2 linked regions of the Drosophila melanogaster genome follow. The gene in region 1 interacts genetically with each later gene. Each region holds a gene or a part of one and is shown in the gene's direction. Other genes may lie near its edges. The genes, in order: ND-20 and Vap33.

The links.
Region 2: of ND-20 (region 1) and Vap33, changing one suppresses a phenotype caused by changing the other (phenotypic suppression), as found in Drosophila melanogaster (one study listed by BioGRID).

What each region holds. Positions count from the first base shown.
Region 1 is NC_004354.4:15,984,731-15,988,419, reverse strand, and holds ND-20 (NADH dehydrogenase (ubiquinone) 20 kDa subunit), read left to right. Parts: upstream 1-1,611; 5' UTR 1,612-1,682; exon of another isoform or gene 1,683-1,736; 5' UTR 1,737-1,743; coding exon 1,744-2,409; 3' UTR 2,410-2,947; downstream 2,948-3,689. Other genes in the region: eIF5 (eukaryotic translation initiation factor 5), read left to right, coding at 1-352, 431-1,135; Slc25A46a (solute carrier family 25 member 46a), read right to left, coding at 3,055-3,689.
Region 2 is NC_004354.4:3,946,840-3,955,001, forward strand, and holds the start of Vap33 (VAMP-associated protein 33kDa), read left to right. Parts: upstream 1-2,135; 5' UTR 2,136-2,533; intron 2,534-2,641; 5' UTR 2,642-2,810; coding exon 2,811-2,874; intron 2,875-4,575; coding exon 4,576-4,728; intron 4,729-4,796; coding exon 4,797-4,906; intron 4,907-4,989; coding exon 4,990-5,202; intron 5,203-5,268; coding exon 5,269-5,382; intron 5,383-5,927; coding exon 5,928-6,083; 3' UTR 6,084-8,162. Other genes in the region: Gem4c (gemin 4c), read left to right, coding at 1-750, 810-1,264.

The sequences.
Region 1 (3,689 bases):
GGCCAAAAACCAGACCATTTCGCAGTCTTGCAAGGCATGCGGCTTCCATGGTCTGCTCAAGGTTAACCATAAAGTGAACACATTCATTGTGAAGAACCCCCCGTCATTGAATCCGGCCGCCCAAGGATCATCGCTAACCGAGGGCAAACGCTCGAGGAAACAGAAGCAGAAGAACGATAACGCCGATGGCTCCATGACCAATAACTCTTTGGCCAACAACTCTGGCGGTGAATCAGATGGCGGCAACGGCACAAATCAGGCTAGCCAAACTGAGGCCGAGATTAGCGCAGCTATTCCGGAGAAAACAGCCAAGGATGACGACGATGAGGGATGGAGTGTCGATGTTTCGAAGGTACGTTGTTTAATCCGTATATACTCGCAATTAGCTTAAAGAGCTATTCATATGTATATTACTACTCCACCCCGGTAGGAGGCTATTCGTGCTCGTTTGCAAGATCTGACTGATGGTGCTAAGGGTATGACTATTTCGGATGACTATGATAAAACTGAAAAGGAGCGCATTGATATTTTCTACGAGTTGGTTAAGGACAAGCGGGACAAGAAGCAATTGGATGATGTGCAAACTCACAAGGAGCTGGTGATTGAAGCCGAACGCTTGGATATTATTAACAAGGCTCCATTGGTTCTCGCCGAGCTGCTTTTCACTGAAAACATCATCAAGGACGTGCAGAAGAATCGCCCTTTGCTTCTTCGCTTCACCCTCAATAATCCAAAAGCACAGCGCTATCTAATTGGTGGAGTGGAGCAAACTGTAGAGCTGCATAAGGGTATATTGATGAGCAAGGTTGCTGGAATCTTCAAATTGTTTTATGATCTGGACATACTCGATGAGGCCGTCATACTGGAGTGGGCACAGAAGGTTAGCAAACGACATGTCTCGAAAAATATTGCTGCCGAAATACACGAGAAAGCTATGCCATTCGTTCTCTGGCTGAAGAATGCCGAGGAAGAGTCCTCCGAAAGTGAGGAGGAGGAGGACGATGAATCCGAGGAGGATAACTACGTTTCCAGTGCCGGCCAACGTGGCGGTCAACGGGTCGTCCAACGCGGAATTCCACGCGCTGTTGCAGGCGACGAGGATGACGAGGACGACGTGAACATCGACGATATCTAAAAGGAATCAAAAAGAGAACAGCTACCCTAATCCAACCAGTAATATTTTAAAAGGGGGAAAATCAAGCGAGCAAGCATAATCTACAATTCAAACTGAAATATAAATTAGCGAGTTAAATCAACATGTGGTTTTTTTTATCTTTAGTTCTTAAGAGTGCTAATCGTATTTTGAGTCGTCGCTTTACTACCATTCAATTGTTTGCATAACATTTCCCAAGCCGCTGTAACAATAGAATTACACCAACATATTACAAAATAAAGCAAACAAAAACATTAATAACTACTTTTTTACTTGCCTTTTGGTCAGCTTAAGCTATGACCTTCAAGCAAGTTGATTTTTTTAGCCAACCATTGCGTTCATGTGGGAAAAGGGCATAAAGTTCATGCTGCCGCAAGTGATGTGCTTGTGTGAGAATAGGATATCTAAAGTAAATTCGTATTTTATAGTATATTTTCCTGGTGCATTTGGTATTTTAGTTAGTAGTTCGGCGGCGGTCACATCATACGCATCCCCTATAAATCGAAATAAGTTGAAGTTACATAAATAGGTATTAAATGTTTAAATGCCCAGTCCTAGTATAACTACAGATTTACTTTAGCAGGATCAACATGCTGCGTTCGGCGATGATGTCATCGACCCTGTCCCGGGCTCTCCAAAAGGCGACTCAGACACCGAATGCGTCGATTTCGGCGCTGCCCGCTCTGAATTTGGCCCTGGTGCGCCAACAACAAACGCTTCCAGTTGCCGAAGTGGCCCAAAATCTGCCCAAGAAGGGCTACTCTCCGTTCGGCACCAAACAGTCCTCCGTTGCGGAGTGGTCACTGGCCAGACTGGACGATCTGCTCAACTGGGGTCGCAAGGGCTCGATCTGGCCACTGACTTTCGGTTTGGCCTGCTGTGCCGTCGAAATGATGCACATCGCTGCTCCGCGTTACGACATGGATCGATATGGTGTTGTGTTCCGTGCATCTCCACGTCAGGCCGATGTCATCATCGTCGCTGGCACGCTGACCAACAAAATGGCACCGGCCCTGCGAAAGGTCTACGACCAAATGCCCGAGCCACGTTGGGTCATCTCCATGGGCAGCTGTGCCAACGGCGGCGGCTACTACCATTACTCGTACTCCGTCGTCCGTGGCTGCGATAGGATAATCCCCGTCGACATATACGTACCCGGTTGTCCGCCAACCGCCGAGGCGCTCATGTACGGCGTTTTGCAGCTGCAGAAGAAGGTTAAGCGGATGAAGACGCTCCAGATGTGGTATAGGAAGTAAGGCAACGATCGGAACTTATATTTAAAATGTGAAACATCAAACGACATACGATTTTGCGAACAGAAATCATATTAAATATCGTTCTGTTAACGTTCAGTTGTTGTATACATTGTTTGTTGGATCACGAGGATATTGCAAATAAATGCCTTTCGATATAAATACAAACATTCAAGCTGTGCTTCTGTATCCAAACGTCAGCTTGAATCGTACGTGTGTTTGCCAACGGTCGTAATGAAAATCGTGAATTCGAAAAAAGTTTTGTTTCCCTTCAAAATGAGCGTGAAGTTAACGGCTCCTTCCTCTTTTTTTTATCGTGAATTGTATACACAACCATATCATTTAGTTGTCATAGAAACGATCGCACCAACCACAGGACAATCTGCTGTTTTTACTTAATTTTTCTGTATTCATTTCAAGGTCCTGACGTTTTCGGGACACAAAGTGCAAGAATATAAGCTCAGTTTAAAGTGTTTAAAATAGTTATATTTTTTAATTGGCAGATTTTTTTTTAACGCAACTGCAGAGTAAGCAAACCCTTAAAATACAATTATTCATGCTAACGTCCCAATAAACCCAACGAAAAATACAAAAAGAAATAAATATTTGTATAATTTACATATGCAATATAATTTGACTAGCCATTAACTAGTCTTGTGAATTCTGCCCAAGACTAATCTCCCCCATTTCGGTACTGGAAAGGCTTGGCGACAAGGTCGTGGACCTGGAGTTGCAAGCATTCTCATCCAGATTATAGTAATTCACTATTCGCTGTGGTGGTCGGTTGGAGATGACCTCTACGATTTGATTCACAACCCATTTGGTCAATTTGATGACGGCCACGTGTGCCGCAAACTGCAGGATCATGGCTCCAAAGCCCTTGTAGAGGCCACTAACTCCCTCGGAGACAATCGTTGTCTGATAGCAATCGACGACTCCTTGATAGTTTGTTAGAATGGGTACGACATCGTAGCCATTGTCGAGGTTGTCGATTATAGTTCGTGTTCCCTGCAATTGCAGACGGTGTAGAATCGTTTCGAACGGGAAGAACATGACCTCAGTGGTTATGATAGCAATAAGGCTGGCATAGATGTCCGCATTCTGTTGTTCCAGCGTGGTGTCCTGATACTTTCCACCCTGGCCGTCCTGGGAATTCTTTATACGAAGCCGCATTATGCGTGAGGACACGCCCCGTATCACGAGATTAAACAGATACTTGGTGATGCCAAAGGAGACACTTGGCCCGATTAGAGCCCAGGCTGGTAGCATACGGCCCTTTTGCG
Region 2 (8,162 bases), about 12 Mb from region 1:
AGCGCTTCCCGATAACCAAATTTCTAGTACTGTGCTTTGAGAACGCAAGACAGACCTGGATTGATTTCTCCCACTTGGGCGTGACGCATACTCGCTTCTCGAAGCTATTCTGGCACATAGCTCAGTCTTGTCCCAAGCATGCTGCTTTTCATATTTCCGCCTGTGCCGATAACATCTTGGTGAACGAGCAACTACTTCAAAAGCCGTATGCCTTGCAGTTTACACTCTACCTATATGGCCACCGACAGATCCTCAACGGTCTCTACACGTCAGCGCGACAACTGTGCGTTAGTTTGAAAGACGGACGGTGTCCCTACGGAGAGGATGAGCTTAGGCAGGCGCAAAATAGGTTCCTAGACGCGTGTGCCTACGGTTTGGCCAAGTTTATAGAGCCCATGAACTTGCCCAGCTTGCAGTTAATCTTGAAACTGCTCAAGCAGATTAGTCTGGGTGAAAGCAATCTAATCACCCGAGGCACTGCAGAGTTAAATGCACTCGAAAAGGAGCACCCGAAATTGGAGAACGGAGACGATGCACCAGCTGTCAAGGTGGCCAAGCACTACACATATCTGAATGCCAGCTTGCCAGAGTGGCGTTTGAAACACTGGAAGCTGATCTCGCATGTCATGAAAACCATTGATGCCCTACGCTGGGACTTGGCCACCTTTGAAGATTTCCGGGTGGATAATTTAGAACTGGCGGTGTGGTATTGGCAGGACGGTCTGTCTCATCTGACATTCCTAGGCACTGGTGCGCTCTTATAAATGTAAGTCCAAGACGAAAGCCTACTAATTATTGCTCTTTCACAGAATGCCGCCAGAGGATCTTGAACCAAGTGAACAGTTTAAAGCACAAGGGCTTTTGGCTCATCTACCTTAAAGAAGACACCTTAAAGGACACACGCTCCTTTCTCAAATTGCTAACTCAGTCCAGTGCACAGGAGGCTAACGATCTCTTCAAAAAGCTCCTTAAAAAAAGGGCCGATTGTGCTGTTATGGGCGATCTTAGCGATGCAGTGGTCAAGGTGAACAGCGAGTCCGCTTTCATGGCCTTTAGATTCCTATTTCGAGAATATTTGATCGCCTTCCGGAGCCACGCCAAACACAATAAGACCATCACGAAGCGCCAGCATTGGGATCATTTGATGGCCGTTGTGGCCAAGGCTCCATTCTCCATTCGCAACGAGATTATGAAGCTAGCTAGTAAAGCCTTCGCTGTGCGATTCGGCATAAATATCCAGGAACAGCAGGCGGCCAAGTGTTAAGGAGATGCTGTTAGAAGTGTAATTTTCTTAAGCCAAATCGAAACTCCGCCGCTTGTCCAACACTTTAATTCTTAGGCAGTCAGATCTCTATATGACTAAAAACATATATAATATTCATAACGCTAGGATTGAACATCAGAATAATTTGATATCAGATTATTTTACAACTTTGTATGTCCTTTAAAAGGACGACTGTATGCACATAACAAATGTACCACTACCATGCAAATTTTTTGTCTTACTAAAAATACTTTGGCAAGCAAGTGAAGTTATTCAGCTGAAAATTAATAAAATTTTGCATGTTCTTTTTTTTCGTATTATTATGTATTATATATATAATATACAAAACGCTATGATTGAACATCAGAATAATTTGATATCAGGTTATTTTACAACTTTGTGTGTCCTTAAGGCCGACTATATTTACATAAAATATGTAATACTACCATCAAATACAAATTTGTGTTCTATTAAATAAATGCTTTGGCAAGCTTAAAATTATTGTAATTTTGCATGTTCTTATTTTTATTCGTATTTTTATGTATTACTTCGACTGCTTTGCTTCCTGTTGCAAAATTGTAACTTAAAACTAGGAAAATTTATTTTAATACATTTTTAAATTTCATGTACTCGTTATGTTATAAATTTAACTAATTTATATTCTGTCAAAAGCTGAATGGCATTATTCAGGGAAAGGAAAATTTTGGTGCAAATTGTTATTAATAACATTTTCAAATTACCTAAATAAAAAAAAATAGAAAAAATATCTTGTCTTAAAAAACACTATATATATTTTACAAGGTAATTTAACGACCAATGCTTGACAAGTATCGAAAAGTCGCTAAACTAAAAATATCGATACCCGATGCATCGATATTTTTTTCACATCACTAGCTGACAGAATATATGGCTTTTTTACATTTTGCGTTTTCAACTGAAGTTTGCGAAGAAACCGAAGCGTGGTAAACCACTGAAATCGAAAATATCGACAGAAAAGCGACCTAAAGTCGGTGAAGAAGTCGCACGTTGATCGTTGTGTTTTTTTCCCGAAATTTTCTGCAAAAAGCCCGTGCGTGCGTGAGTTTCTCTGGCTCTTGCTTTTTTTTTGTCCATGCGTGTGTGTGTGGTCGCATAAATTTACCGATATTTCGCCTGTGAGAGCGAAACGAACGAAAAACGAAAGAAAAAAAGAGAGACGAGTAAAGTAAAACGAAACAGGCATAAAAACAGCAGCAGTTTTCTTGATATATTTGGCTAAAAAACGCAAACGTAAGCGAAAAATTTGAAATCCCTCTTTTAATTTAGTTGTGTGCCTGTGTCTCGTATCTATGCGTGCGTCTGCATTTTAATATAATTTTGTGTGCATTTTCTTAACAGCAAACAGCCAGCAAGAACAACAAATAGCTGGGCAAAAACAGGACGCACAAAAAATAAAATTAAAACGATAAGAGGCGAAAAGCGGAGAGAGTGAAATTCTCGGCAGCAACAACGACAAGAACAACACCAGGAGCAGCAGCAACAACAACAACAAAAGCCAGCCGCCACAATGAGCAAATCACTCTTTGATCTTCCGTTGACCATTGAACCAGAACATGAGTTGCGTTTTGTGGGTAAGTTTATTTTACATTATTTTCGCGTTTTTGCGGAAAGGTCGCTGCATATCGACCAAAAAAGCCGATTCACCTCCCATTTCTTGCAAAGAGCAAACTGCAAGTTTCACTTTTTCTCTCTCTCACGCGCACATTTAATCTCCCTCCCTCTACGCTTTCTATTGCCATCTCGCTCGATTGGCTATCAATAATTTCCGTTGTTTTTGTTCTTCCTTTACATACGACACCTTTTATTGTTGTTCTTTTCGGGGTCTACGTGTATCATCGCTCTGCTTCTTTCCGTTTTTTTTCTTTTTTTTTTTTTTGCTTCAGCTCTTTAATGTATTTTATTTTTTGATGCCGGCAGCTGGCGTCGCTCTCTTTCTCACTTGCACTCGCCATCCCTCTCCCTCTTGCTCACTCGTTTCGCGTTTTTGGCTAGCATTATATTTTTATACGCAAAAACTTGTCATGGGCCATTTTAATTTTTTCTTGTCTTTTGGCTCCTTGAATTTTGGCCAAAAAGCAACAGCAGCAGTGACAAAAACAATGCAAAGAGCTCGCACAGTGGGTGCGACAAGTGGCACGGTTGTCATCGCATTGTTATTGAACTCCTGTTGCCAAGCTGCATTTTCCAGTGCATAAACATTTAATTTTTTTCGCGAAATTTTATCACAGTCTCAATTGCAGAACGAAATGTCTACTTAAATGACCAATCATTGTTGATTGCGATCTAGAATAATACACCAATAACCATTCACCATTTGTATTTTGTCTTATTGAAAAAAATTGAGTTAACTTTTCAAGTATTTTGCTATCGCTTCCATTGTGCGCAAATATTTTAATATCTGTGTATGTGTGAGTGAGCCTTAGCCCCATTCTTTTGCAACCCCCTCGCCCACGTTTCCCGTTAGATCGTGAATAGTGCGGTCGGCGAGGGGTGAAAAACACATGCATGACGCGACTTTGTCTAATGAAATTTCCTTGACACACACTTACACCAAAGAAAAACACGCACACGCCATGCTAACAAACAAAAAAAATTCCTTTCGTTAGTTTTTGCCCATTTCCTGGTTTGTTTTGATTTTCTCACCAATGCCTGTTAAAAATGTGACCAAAAAAACTATTTTAGAATGTAAGACCCCGCGATCGATTTCTAGTCGGCTTAAAAGTAATATTCGGAGTAATACTAGCGTTTACTAATCACATTAAATCTGAAATAATTTGAAGTAATTTTTGTAATTTCATAATAGTTTCAAAATAAGTTACACATTTTGGTAGTGAATCCAACTTCAATATGCAGGGTATTCCTCGATATTCAGTTTACTATTCGGTTTTTGTGCCCGTTCTCGATTTTGTTTTGATATTAATTCAATTAATTTGAACTTGCCTCGACCAATGACGCAACGAGCGTGACGCTACACAAAAATCAGGAAGAGTGGGGAAAATCGGGAAAGTAGAGAAATGTGGAAAGTGCGAGTGTTGGGCGCTTTTGGGTTGGGTGGGGCTATCGCCAAAATAGTGTGACTAATCGGGTGCATTCAATATGAAAGGGCGATAATGCCTGTTTTATTTAAAGATCATATCATGAGGAGAAAATCGGAAATCAGAAAATATTAACAATAGGGAAATATGTATGTACATATGCGTTATATGTGCCATGAAATTAATAAGATGTGTTCCTTAAGCTAACACTCATTTTGATATATTCTCGCCTTACAGGTCCCTTCACCCGACCCGTTGTCACAATCATGACTCTGCGCAACAACTCGGCTCTGCCTCTGGTCTTCAAGATCAAGACAACCGCCCCGAAACGCTACTGCGTACGTCCAAACATCGGCAAGATAATTCCCTTTCGATCAACCCAGGTGGAGAGTGAGTATTTCTCAAATGGTATATCGTTACTCTAATAATATCGTTACTTATCCTCGGCATGTACATAGTCTGCCTTCAGCCATTCGTCTACGATCAGCAGGAGAAGAACAAGCACAAGTTCATGGTGCAGAGCGTCCTGGCACCCATGGATGCTGATCTAAGCGATTTAAATAAATTGGTAAGGGGAAACGAATAGGACTCTTAATGATGGCATAGTGTGTATATTACTTTTCTAATCAACGTCCTATTCTACACCCGCAGTGGAAGGATCTGGAGCCCGAGCAGCTGATGGACGCCAAACTGAAGTGCGTTTTCGAGATGCCCACCGCTGAGGCAAATGCTGAGAACACCAGCGGTGGTGGTGCCGTTGGCGGCGGAACCGGAGCTGCCGGAGGCGGAAGCGCGGGTGCCAATACTAGCTCAGCCAGCGCTGAGGCGCTCGAGAGCAAGCCGAAGCTCTCCAGCGAGGATAAGGTATGTTAAGTCGAACAGGCAAAACCTTTCTAATGGCATAATAAATAACGCTAACATATTACCCAGTTTAAGCCATCCAATTTGCTCGAAACGTCTGAGAGTCTGGACTTGCTGTCCGGAGAGATCAAAGCGCTGCGTGAATGCAACATTGAATTGCGAAGAGAGAATCTTCACTTGAAGGTAAGCCAATTCCATTATGACTCTTCATTTTTTCTGTGTTTTGAGTAGTGCAATGTCGAAGTTACTGCTACCTAAGGGAGTTCCTCAGCAGTATTATCAAGATGTCTTCAATATTGAATATTCAGTTTTGTTCGCAATCGGTTAGAATGAGTCGATTCAGCCATAAGGAGAAGCAGGCCTCTGACTTTTTTCAAATTATAGGCTGTACGCGATGATCTCAAAATTGATATGAAAATTAATGACACTATTAGTGACAATTTCTTGCATTAGGTTGCTGTGGTGTACTAAAAATAATCAGCCTTTAAATATAAGTAAATCCAATTTGGTAATTCCAAGAATAATGCAAATAATGATCTGTTGTGCCTGGGAGTTTTCTGCGCGCTTGATATATAATTATTGTTATTATACAATAACTCGGTTCAGTTGGGGTGCTGATTTGTTTTCGAGTTCAAAAAAGAATACATAGGATAAATATTTTGTAAGTAGCCAGATAAGGATCAATCTATCCATTTGTGTAAATTAATAAATTTCTCAACCATTTGCAGGATCAAATCACACGTTTCCGGAGCTCGCCGGCCGTCAAACAGGTGAATGAGCCCTATGCCCCAGTCCTGGCTGAGAAGCAGATTCCGGTCTTTTACATTGCAGTTGCCATTGCTGCGGCCATCGTTAGCCTCCTGCTGGGCAAATTCTTTCTCTGAATGCCATAAACGAACGCCAGCAACATGCTACATGCAACGTGCAGCAACAGTAACAGCAAGAACAGCGGCAACACCATCATACAGCAACAGCAACAACAAAAGCAAAAGCAGCAGCAGCAGCAGCAACTAACAATAGCAACAACAACGAAAGAAGAACAGCAGCAGCAGGAGCATTAAAATAAATTTAATTGGCAGAAGAAACAAACCACAGAGACGAATGTAAAGCTGACTAAACCGGGGACCGTATACATTTAAACGGTTGTATTGAAAATCAAAAATAATCATTGTTTGTTAGCGAAACAAGTATCGCTCAGAATAGTATGGATTATGATGTGAGAAATATTGTTTGGTTCCAACATATTGCTCAAAGACAGATTGGCAGTTCTTGTTTTTAATACGAATCTTAACGAGACTTAAGTGTAAAGCATTCGAAACAATTTTAAGCTGTATTGACGCTTCGTGTATTTCAACCAAAAATATTTAAGTTTTTGCAAGATCTCGCTTGAATTAGTCGCAACCGGACTTTGAGTAATAAGAACATTTGGGCCCTATGAAATCCCTCACATCATAATCAATACTTAAAAAAAAGAAAACATAACGAATGATTACTTTTGGTACCTGGGCTAAACAAAACAAAAAAAAAAAAAAAAAACAAAAAAAAAACCGCAGAGAAAGGGAAAAATAGAAGAGACGTAAAATCGTATTTTCGCAAGGGGGAACATCTCTCAAGAACTCTTTAAAATCCGCTAAGATCCATACGTATATTTGCTCAGATTTTCGATTGCATTTTTTCGCTATTATTAATTTGTAAGAACTTAAGTTTAAAATGCCTCACAATTCGTTTTAATAATTTTTCGATGCATTTGCAAACGGGAAAAGTCAAGTATTTCAAAGAATAACAAAAATTATCATTAATCATACCTTCTCGACGAAACTAAAAGAAAAACCAATTTGTTACTTGAGTGCGAGAATAAACTTCAGTTTTATCAATTTTTTTTATTATTTGCTTTCTTTTTGTTAATTAATTTTTTGCAGCCACATAGACCTAGATGTAAAATTTAAATCGAAAACAGAAACGCAAATGTCAAGAAAAAAACATTTAGCAAAATGCAACAAAAATTAAGAAGAAACACTTGTATGGAAAACCAATCAATGAAAAGCTTCAAAAAATAAAAAAATAAAAACAACAATGCTCTGCAAGGCCGACGCTCTCTAAGAAAGAAAAGTTGCTTCACCTCACCCCTCGTCCCATCACTCTTTCTCATTCTCAACCGTCTGTCCCTCTCTAAATCCCGAAACGAGATCGAACGCGGACGGCGGCTCTATATATACATATTTATATATAATCATTATTGTTTTGGTTGGCATTTGCATTTACTAAGTTTCGTTTTAGTCACTTCAGTGGTTACATTACTACACACATACACACCACTCAATGAACGCTATATATATATATATATATATAGATATATATATATTATATGAATATACTAAATTTCTGTAAGCAAACCTTTATGTAATTTGTGTTGTTTGCCAAGGTCGAATTGAACGATTTCCAGCCCAAATGGCACCGAAATTGAGAAAATCCATCAACTGTATCCGACACGCCGATATATATACGATCTAATAAGTGCAAAAAAAAAATCAATCAATTTTCTAAAAAAGAAAACACAAAAAAAAAAAGGAACGAAAAAACCTTTACTAGAAGCAAAACAAACGCGTGTTGTTCATGGTTTACACTGCACCCGTGGATCCATAGATTTGGATCCATAGATACACCCACCCACCCACTTGGTTCCTTTCGTAGCGCCTACTATTTGCTGGCGATGCATCTTGTTTCACACAATTGTTTCCCCAACACATTTCATTGCTATTGTTCGTGGTTACGACTTTTTTTATATAGTTTGCAAAGCATTGAAAAGGGTATATAGATTTATACATGAATATATATTCGCCGACATGCATGATCGCTGTAATTTCATAGGCATGTGGAAAACTCGTATTTAAATGTTTAACTAGAAATACAGAAAAGAAAAGAAAAAATAAACTAAAAATAAATAAAAGGAAATGTGGAAATAA